3 linked regions of the Danio rerio genome follow. The protein of the gene in region 3 interacts with the protein of the main gene of each other region in a biochemical or structural test. Links are inferred from orthologs where the notes say so. Each region holds a gene or a part of one and is shown on either strand. Other genes may lie near its edges. The genes, in order: mcm3l, amer1 and keap1b.

Region 1 (3,659 bases), on a different chromosome or scaffold from region 3:
GAATCTCGATTTACAAAAATAACAGTTATGACTGGTTTTCTGGTCCAGGGACACATACTGTACATAGCCCGGCTGTTAACTAACCCTTAAGCCCAACCTGCTCTGGTTAGACTCATTTTTACAAGTCATACACTCGAAATACGAAATAAAGGTACAAGATATTATATTTATTTATTTATTTATTTATTTATTTTTGAGTTAAAATCCAATTCAATGGTCTATGCGAGGCTAAAAGGTAACAAAACTGACTAAATGAATTCAAAAATAATAAAGCTCAGCTGTTTAACTCTACACTCTCAGAAATAAAGGTACAAGAGCTGTCACTGGGAAAGTACCTTTACAAAAGATACATATTTGTACCTGAAAAGTCCATATTAGTACTTCAAAGGTACATTTTAGGTGCATTTGGGTACTGATATGTATCTTTGAGGTACCACAAAGGCTGCTTTAGGTACAAATATGTAAAGGTACTTTCCCAATGATAGCTCTTGTACCTTTATTTCTTGAGAGTGTAGAGTTAAACAGCTGAGCTTTATTATTTTTTTAATTCATTCAGTCAGTCTGGATATATATATATATATATATATATATATATATATATATATATATATATATATATATATATATATATATATATATATATATATATATATATATATATATATATATATATATATATATATATATATATATATATATATATATATATATATAAAGAATCGACTTGCGTGTTGTAAAACCAACAGAAAATAAGAAGTTGCTATTTTCTAGGTCAATGTGGCTAAAAACTATACTCTCAATCCAGCATAATAATCAAGGAACTTTGATTCAATACCATGCCTGAAGCAAACACAATATTACATAGTGCTTGAAAATAGTCCACAGCTAACTAGGTAACAGCCCTGCATAATATTATTGTAAGTGCAGCAGCCACAATACACAATGTAACTCAAGAATAGAATAAGTAGAGTCAAGTGTATAATTGGAAAATTATCAAAACACTTTTTTTTATTATTTGAGTGAGATTCTAATGGTCTAATCTGATTCAATGATCTATGCTAAGCTAAAAATGCTCCTGCCAGACCTGGAGATCCGCTGAATGGATTTTTAAAAATTTTTTACAGGAGTTGTAAAATGAGCCTATTTCCAAAAAAGTGCAGTGTTTCTTTTTTAATTTAGCATGATGCAAGGAAGCTGAGAATGAATTTGTGCCTGTTCTCCTCTGGCTGTTGCAGGTGAGCGCCGTCTGGAGGCAGGAGCTATGGTGCTTGCTGACAGAGGTGTGGTTTGCATTGATGAGTTTGATAAGATGTCAGACATGGACCGAACCGCCATCCATGAAGTGATGGAGCAGGGCAGGGTCACCATTTCCAAAGCTGGGATTCAGGCAAGGCTGAACGCTCGCTGCAGTGTGTTAGCTGCTGCTAATCCAGTGTACGGAAGGGTAAATATTGATTGGTGGCTTGACTGGTATAAGTACTTTCTATTAAGAATTGAGAATTTAATATTCTGTTAATTCTAATGTGTTCAATTGGGTTAATTTATCAAGTATGACCAGTATAAGACCCCCATGGAGAACATCGGGCTCCAGGATTCCTTGCTTTCCAGATTTGATCTGCTCTTCATAGTTCTGGATCAGATGGATCCTGACAGTGATAAGGAGATCTCTGAGCATGTGTTGCGTATGCATCGCTACAGAGCACCGGGAGAAGCAGAGGGAACAGGTGAGACTGACCTCTGCTGGACAAAACACAACCACCTCTAGAGATGAGTGGAGATAAGTGCTAGAAGCTTGTTGTTGTTTGGCATAAGTTCAATTGCTTGTAAAGAACAATTATGGTGGAATTACAAGCTGATAACTTTGATAGGTTTTTTTTCTCTCTCAGAATTGACAATTTCAAGTTTACATTTTAAGTTGTTTTTTTTTTTTTTTGCATTTCTGAATTTTCTTTTTTTCTTGTAAGCTATTACTTTGTAATCGAGTTTGTAACTTGCAATTTTGTGCTAACATTTTATAAATATGGAATTTTCCTTTTTTTTTTTTGACTCCAGTTGAGTATACACCCCCCACCCCTTTAGAATTGCAAGTTACATTTATCACCATTTTAATTTTATTTGGTTTTTACAGTTCTGAGAAGAGAAGTCGTAATTATGGGGTGGAAAAACACTAATCAAAGGATTTTTTTTTTTACTACTTTATTCAAATGTAGCGTTCACCAGTATAGAATAAATGTAAAAACACAACCTTTTTATTTATTTTTATATATATATATATATATATATATATATATATATATATATATATATATATATATATATATATATATATATATATATTTATTTATTTATTTATTTATTTATTTATTTATTTATTTATTTATTTATTTATTTATTTATTTATTTATTTATTTGCTTCATTTTTGTGGTACAGTAAAAGTGATCTACTACTACCATTGAACAGTTTGGCATACGATTTTAAATTTTTTATTATTTAAAAAAGAAATAATTACTTCTATTCATAAAGAATGCATTCATTGTTTAAAACTATTGTTAAATATGAATATTTCAAATATGTAGTGATCTTTTGGACCTTCCATTCTTCAAAAAATCTTGCAAAAAATGTCAGTTTCCACAAAAAATTTCAAGTAGGAATAGTAGTTTTCTACATTCAGAACTGAAAATTAATTCAACTTGACAATTAAGAAGGACAAAAGTGTGTATTACAACTGGTTTGTGATATTTAAGACCGGAGAAAGTATGTTACAAATTCAGCTTTGGAATCACAAAATGAAATGTTGTTTTAAATAGTATTGTGTCTGCACAAACAGCAATGCCGCTGGGAAGTACAGTGGACGTGTTCGCCACAGAAGACCCAAACATCACAGAAGCATCTGAGCAGGAGTTGCAGATCTATGAGAAAAAAGACAATGTCCTGCATGGCCACAGGAAGAAAAGGTATGCTTCTCTTCATCTAGTTATAAATGGTCTTTGTTCCCTTAGAAAAAAAGTTGCGTAGCATGAGTGAGTTTCTGTGATAATCCTTTTGAAAAGGGAGAAGATTGTTACAATGGAGTTCATCAGGAAGTACATCCACGTGGCCAAGCTGGTGAAGCCAGTGTTGACTCAGGAGGCATCAGACTATATAGCGGAGGAATATTCTAGACTCCGGAGCCACGACCAAGTCAACAGTGACTCTGCAAGGGTCTGTAATGTCCACTTATGTATAACCTTTGGTTTATGCTTGACTTTTGGGGCACTTTTATGTTGTAAAATCGACTTTGTATAGAAGAGTAAGTCTTTAAATCTACATATTGACACTTTTGGGTACTAGCAAAGCAAATATGGACATTAGAGTAACATATACTGTAATTATTTTAAAAACAATTATTTTATAACATAAAATAATTATTGCAAATTTTACAGAAACATTACATGCAGTTTTAGATAATTTTTATGCGAACCCACTATTTATTATTATTTTTTTTTTTAACAAATCTTTTAAAGATCATTTGCACCACTGCATCCAGTATACCAGATTATCCCATTACTTAGTCACTACATATATGGCTCCTTTAATGTGATATTTTGGTTGCTCTGGAATTGCTTGATTTGCATTCAACTGTGTCCATTCTCACAGACGATGCCTGTGACCGCTCGAG
Region 2 (2,652 bases), on a different chromosome or scaffold from region 3:
TAGACGCGGATTACTTGCAGAGCTTATGGGAGTCAGAAACTAGTAATGAAGTCTGCTACATCCCCTCAGATAGGGGCTCAGATAGCCCTTCACTCACCCCTGATCAGCAACTGAGCTCTATCCGTGCCACCTCCAGCAGCAGCCCAATGGGAATCACAGAAACTGCTCTCACTCCTGCCGACCTCTTGAGTCCACAGAGTGATCGGCAGGAGTCGGTACCCAACAGTGACGAGGGTTACTATGACTCCACCACGCCAGGGATGGAAGAGGAGAGTAGAGAACGTCCACACCAGGAAAGGCTTCCACGGGACAGCTACAGTGGTGATGCCCTTTATGAACTTTTTGAGCCTGACGATCGCCTGCTCAGTCCTTCTCTTCCTCCCAAGGATGCCCACTCATTTGTTGGTGCACCCTTGCAGGCTGATAAGAGTCCAACAAACCCGCTATACTCCTTGGCATCTACTGCAATAGAAACAGGAGCCATGGAGACAGAGGAGGAGCGCCTGAGCAAGATCCAACATGCCCTTCTGTGCTGTGAGCTTCAGAATCTCAGGAGTCCATCCAAAAACCAGCTTTTGTTCCATTCCGACTGCTTTTATGATGATTCGAACCTTCCAGTTGATGATAGTAAGCAAGATTTGCAAGAAGTTATCAATCAGCGCTATCCCCAATCCCCACCAAGATCCCAGGCTGTTAAAGAGGGAGTCCCTCGCATCAGGGGTCAGGTTCAAGAGAGTTCGTTATTCGCACCCTGTGCTGATTCGGTGTTGAATCCACAAGTCATCGAGACAACCAGACCGCAGCCTCAATCTGACGATCAAGGCTCATTACGACCCTCCAGAGGCTGCAGCCAATCCCAAGAAGAGCTGATGGTCTGTTTCTCCCAAGCCTTGGTAGATTTTACAAAGAACACCCGGCTTTACCGCAATTCAACTGAAAGTCTTGATGGCTCTGAGTCAAGTTCTCCCTTTGGCCCAAGTCTGAGAGCCCTGCCTGCCATTGTAACATTCGATGTGGTTGATATGGAGAATGAGGGTGAGTGTGAGCAGCAGACTGACCTTGCAGAGGAAGAGGAAGAGTTGGCATCTCCTTATGAGCCATTCGAAGATGATGGCTGTTACCTTCAACAAGATGCCTTTGCTGAGTGTGACCAGCGTACTTTTGATGCTTATGAACAGAGTCTGCTGCTCAGCAATGCTTGGGGAATTGCAAGCCTTCCTCGGCACCTCAGTTTGGGTCGACCTTGTCCACCAGTCCCTGCCCCTTTAGCACTAAATCGCCGAAGTCGCTCACTTGACACAGACAGTCTGGAGTTTCAGACAAGTGAAATTTACACAAGCGTAACCAAGTATGACTCAAAAGGCACTGCATTTTCACAGAGCAGGACTGTTGATTGTAATGATATGGATTTTCCACGACAACCCTGCAGAATTACGGTTGACAGCTGGAGGAGGGGCTACAGACAGAATTTTGATTCCAGCAATGCTTCTCAGCAAGAACTGAAGTTGCCACATTTGAGCCAATCCACTGTCAGACCTTCACACCTGCCCCTAAAGAACAATTGCCGTAGTCGTAACCTCCCTGCTGCCACTAGAGTGGATGGTGAGGGGGAGATTTTATTTGGTGGAGGCGATGCGCTTTATCCGTGCAGTTACCCCCCTATGGGCACACAGTGGAAGAATCGGCCTGTCGGGGTCACCCAGGGTGTGCCACATCTTCGCTCTGAGCAATCTGCAGACCATCAAGAAATCACAATGAAGAACAGGAGGGGGGAACTTAAGGGTGGCTTCACGCCTGCACCCCCCAAGTTATGAACAATATTCCCCCACTCAAAATGAAACCGTAATACAAATAGACAAGTCTCGTCACCAAAGACGATGCTGGATGTTTACTGACACTCTTGAATTGTATGGCACTCTCACACATACACACTATAGTTGCTGTTACTGCCGGATAAGCTATTGTATTCTTTTGTGAGGTATTGTGTAGTTTTTTGAGCTGTTTTAGTTTCTGTGAGTTTAAGAGGATGTGCATTTGTACATTGTGTGTTACAACAGTTTTCAGCAGGTGCTGTCTATATATAGATGCCATATTGCTTTGCATTTATGTAGCCAGGAATTGCCATTGAAATTGATCCATATTGTTCAGATGTTTTTTTTTTTATATATTTGCAAAGAGGACAACAACGACACTATAAATGACTTATTTTAGAGTAAGTATTAAACCCTGCAATAGCATTAAAACCAATACAATCTTGCAAGCCTATTCAAACATCAAGCTTAGTTTGAACTGATGAACAAATTCTTTTTTAATACAAGTTATTTTTTTCAATTTCACAATATGCTGTATGTTTCAAGCTATCAATGTTTGCATCTTGAAACGTTTTAAAGGGTACCTATTTTACCCCTTTTACAAGATATAAGCTAAGTCATTGGTGTCTCCAGAATGTGTCCGTTTTAGCTCAAAATACCCATCAGATTATTTATTATAGCCTCCAGAATTTGCCCATTGCAGGGTTTGAATATGCTGTAGCTGTTATTGTAGCCTTTGGCTTTAAATCCAAATGAGCTGCTTCTCCCCGCCCACCACTTCCACATGCGTGTCTGCTTCTCATCATGCGTTACGTCAGATAAACAGCAGTCAGTGATAGAG
Region 3 (4,172 bases):
CCTGAAGACATGACTGCACACTGCGCTGTACATAAATCAGATCAACATTTTCAGATCAGTCAATAATATTACAGAATAAGTACAGATGTACACACACTAACTCAAGTGAATAGACAGAATCAATGATGAGCTAAACATCTGCAGAATTCTGCGGGCCCGAATCCTCAGTGATCCCGCCGGGCTCAGATCATTTCTCTTTCTCACTACAGTCCATCTGCTCCAGAGTTTTAACTGAACCTCAGTCAGGCGATCTCGGACTGATTGATTTGGTGCAGATCCAAGCACAATTGCTGGATTCACATATGCCAAACGAGCCGCGCTGACTGGACTAACGGGACGGTTCCGAAACAGAAGTGTGGGTGTGAAAGCCCCTTATTGAGGCCTGAACTCTTGTGTTGGTGTGTGAGGGGTGTGAGAGCGGTTATCCTGTGTGCGTCGGCCGCTCTGACCTGGCTGAAGTTCATGTAGATGTACTCTCTGGCCTTCTGGTGGAGCTCCGTGCAGCCGATCTGCTCGGCGAAGCTGGCGATGCCGATGGCGTTACTGGGGTCCAGCTGCTCCACCAGGAAATCACAGCAGGCCTGAACCACGCTGTCGATCTGGTACATCACGGCGCCGTTCATCACGTGGATCACACACTTCTCACCCACTGAGATGCTCGCCGTGTACGCAAACTCAATGAGCCGGCCCATGACCTGGAGACAAGAACACACACGCACACACACACACACACACACACACCGTTTCTGAAGTGGGCACACTGAAAGGCACAGGTCACCTATAATGAACATGTCCTCCTCCTTTCCTCACTCGAGCGCTTCTACAGCTTCATCAGTCTCTGATACTCTGAGGAATGCTGGGAAAGCAGCCGCTGACGTCCACAGCAGGAACAGAAACACTGCTGCAGTCATCAGCTGCTTCCTCCAGGACATCTACCGCTGTGTTCAACAGAAACTCAAACAGGTTTGGAGGAGGAAATGAGGAGAGAGAACAGCTGCTGTCACTGATCACCTGACCACTGAGCTGTGTGTGTGTGTGTGTGTGTGTGTGTGTGTGTGCTGGAGCTCAGGAGAGGAGCTGTACACATTCAAGACCATCACTGTATCATGATGCAACACTCACACAAACACACACACTCACACACTCACACACTCGCACACACACACAGCTGGGAAAACTGCACTACAAATCCAAATTCCCATTTATTATTTTTTCCTAGTGTGTGTGTGTGTGTGTGTGTGTGTGTGTGTGTGTGTGTGTGTGAGTGTGTGTGCTGGTACCTTGGGGTGTATCCCCTCGATGGGCACCACCTCCATGCCGCACTCCTTTAGGCCGTTGGTGAACATGGCGCGGAACACAGGCGAGGACGAGGCCAGCACCACCTTATGCGCCACGAAGTCGACGTGTGTGTCGAGCGGGCAGTAGCGCACGCGGAGTGTGACGTCACACAGCTGTCTCTCGCGCCGCAGCTCGTTCATGATGGCGAAGGCGGCGGCCGTGTGGCTCTCCAGCGTGTAGCTGAAGACGCGGTGCCCATTGCTGGCCGACGGCGTCACCTCCGCCTTACACTCCGTCATGCCCGCCGCCGCCAACATCAGCGCGGGCACATCCTCACTCGCCAGCGCAGCGGTCACGAGAACACACACACACCTGTGTTAGAGACACGCACACATCATACACACACCGCTCATCACCAGCAGGAACACACGCAGAGGAACGCTCACATATCTGTGTTCTCCTGACCAGTGTGAACACACACACACACACACACACGCACACACACGCGCCTGTCAGTCAGTCTGTAGAGGAGGGCAGAGCTGCTGATCTGTGTCTGCACGCGAATCCTGAGGGGGAAACACACACACACACACAGAGAGAGAGATTAGAACAAACACTGAGGATTCACCACTGACTACGATAACACACTCTGCCATGAATGATCAGGAGTATCACACACACTCTCACACACACACACACACACACACACACACACACACACACACACACACACACACACACTCTCTCTTCTGTTGGACTCAGGACTGGTTCATCAGATCTTCGTCAGTGATTTGATCAGAACTAATGAGTTTCAGGAGTTCCTCCTGTCGTTAGCAGGAGTCTATCTTCTGCTTACACACACACATACACACACACTGACTACACACACACTGTCCTGCTGTCAGTGAACCAGAACACACTCTGATCCACACTTAGTGTGTGTGTGTGTGTTTATGAGTGTGTTTTTGTTTGTTTATGAGTGTGTGTACAGGTAAACAGAATCTCACACACTGTTAAAAATGCAGGCTTCCACACAATTCATTCATCTTGACCCAACACAAGTCGATTGAGTTAACTCAACACATTTAACAAATGCGTGTGGATTGAACATAAGAAATTTAAGTTCTCACAAATGAAACCTCAAGAATTGTGTTGTTTCAGCTCATTTTAAATAAGTAGTTTAAAAGAGCAAATATATATGCAGCAGGTGTGTGTGTGTGTGTGTGTGTGTGTGTGTGTGTGTGTGTGTGTGTGTGTGTGTGGTTCCAGCTGTCTGCTAGGTTTATTTTAATGTGTTTCTGTCAATTTGCTGAACTGAAGTGTTTATCTCCGTTTATCCTCCTCACCCCGGCTCTACAGTCATGCTTTAATTTGATTTCCGCTGTTTTCAGCTCTTATAATAACACTAAGAACACAAAGCGCGGTAAATACACATAAACAGCGAGAGGCCTGAGATCCCCGGGCTTGAGTTGAAACGGCACCGGCCCCCGGCAGCGCAGATCCGGCCACACTCAGCAGCGGCGCCGCGCCCGAGCGGGAAACCACAGACCGAGGCTGAGGAAAAGTTCAGCGCTACGCGACCCGCGCTTTAAATTATTGATGGAAACGCGAGCCGACCTCAAATCAAAACACTTTATTCGTGTTATTACCATGTTCTTACCGCGTTATAAGCCTCCATAAACAACACAGTGATCAATCAGGAATAAAGATGAAGATTAATAAAGTTCATCATGAGCTGATCTTCATCAATAAGGAGACAAGCCGCCATCCTCATCCTCACAGCTGTACATCAGAAACTGCATCAACACGAGCCTGTAGATCTGACAAACGCGGCAGTAATGTCGATTAAACACAGTAAACAATGAAAACACACTCACGGGCATCAGCAGCAGCGCACGGACACTCTCTCTCTCTCTCTGTGTGTGTGTGTGTGTGTGTGAGCACTTCTGTGTGTATGTGAGTGTGTGTACTTGTGTGTGTATCATACCCACTGAAAGCAGAAACTCAGCGTGACTAAGCATTAGCTGGCCTGTGTGTGTGTGTGTGTGTGTGTGTGTGTGTGTGTGTGTGTGAGATGCAGTACTGATGTTGGACACGAGGTGTCGCTACAGGTCAATAGAGCGGGCTGCTGCTGGGCTGTGTTTGAGCTGTTCTGCTGTTGGCTGTTCTGGGATCTGTGGTTCAGCTGACTGAACAGCTTCTGTTCTGTTCTGCTCCAGTGTGATCATCAGAGGAGGAGCTGAGCTGAGCTGAAGCTGCACACATCTCATGCCTATACTGGATCCAAAACACGATCAGTAAAACAGTCCGGCTCTCAGTGAGCAGAGCGGAGCGACAGATGGAGGACTACATGCAGAGTTATGTGTGTGTGTGTGTGTGTTCAGCAATTAACATTTTACACTGAAGGACACACACACACACACACACACACACACACACACACACACACACACACACACACACACACACACACACTGCCTCTCCAGTCTGACTTTCATTAATGAGTAAATAAACATTAAAATCTTTGTAGAAGAGCCCAATCTGTGAACAGCTGACCTCTGACCTCTGACGTGCCCGTCTACTGGAGCAGCGACTCACACTCTACTGCACTTCAGTCTGACACTCACGGCAGAGCAACACACACACACACACACACACTGGTCAGGAGAAGCTGAGAGACACACACACACTCTTCACATCTCTATTTTAATATTTCATGAGAAGTTCCAGTTTTGACAGATGACTAAGCTTGTGTGTGTGTGTGTGTGTGTGTGTGTGTGTGTGTGTGGGTAAGAAAGAGAGAGTGTGAGCGATTGAGAGATGCCCGTGGTTTAGGTGTGACGGCTCTGAGGTTGGTTTGAGTGTGTGTGTTTGTTTACGGTAAACAGTGTAAA

Evidence for each region.
Region 1: the proteins of keap1b (region 3) and mcm3l form a complex in vitro, tested with the Homo sapiens proteins (2 studies listed by BioGRID, with this or other methods). The link is inferred for Danio rerio from reciprocal best matches to the Homo sapiens genes KEAP1 and MCM3.
Region 2: the proteins of keap1b (region 3) and amer1 form a complex in vitro, tested with the Homo sapiens proteins (2 studies listed by BioGRID). The link is inferred for Danio rerio from reciprocal best matches to the Homo sapiens genes KEAP1 and AMER1.

The regions. Positions count from the first base shown.
Region 1 is NC_133195.1:6,677,869-6,681,527, reverse strand, and holds part of mcm3l (MCM3 minichromosome maintenance deficient 3 (S. cerevisiae), like), read left to right. Parts: intron 1-1,235; coding exon 1,236-1,444; intron 1,445-1,549; coding exon 1,550-1,724; intron 1,725-2,828; coding exon 2,829-2,955; intron 2,956-3,051; coding exon 3,052-3,202; intron 3,203-3,637; coding exon 3,638-3,659. UniProt on the Homo sapiens protein: Acts as a component of the MCM2-7 complex (MCM complex) which is the replicative helicase essential for 'once per cell cycle' DNA replication initiation and elongation in eukaryotic cells.
Region 2 is NC_133180.1:22,730,435-22,733,086, reverse strand, and holds part of amer1 (APC membrane recruitment protein 1), read left to right. Parts: coding exon 1-1,814; 3' UTR 1,815-2,652. UniProt on the Homo sapiens protein: Regulator of the canonical Wnt signaling pathway.
Region 3 is NC_133181.1:203,230-207,401, forward strand, and holds the start of keap1b (kelch-like ECH-associated protein 1B), read right to left. Parts: upstream 2,956-4,172; 5' UTR 2,939-2,955; intron 1,845-2,938; 5' UTR 1,596-1,844; coding exon 1,281-1,595; intron 696-1,280; coding exon 450-695; intron 1-449. UniProt on the Homo sapiens protein: Substrate-specific adapter of a BCR (BTB-CUL3-RBX1) E3 ubiquitin ligase complex that regulates the response to oxidative stress by targeting NFE2L2/NRF2 for ubiquitination.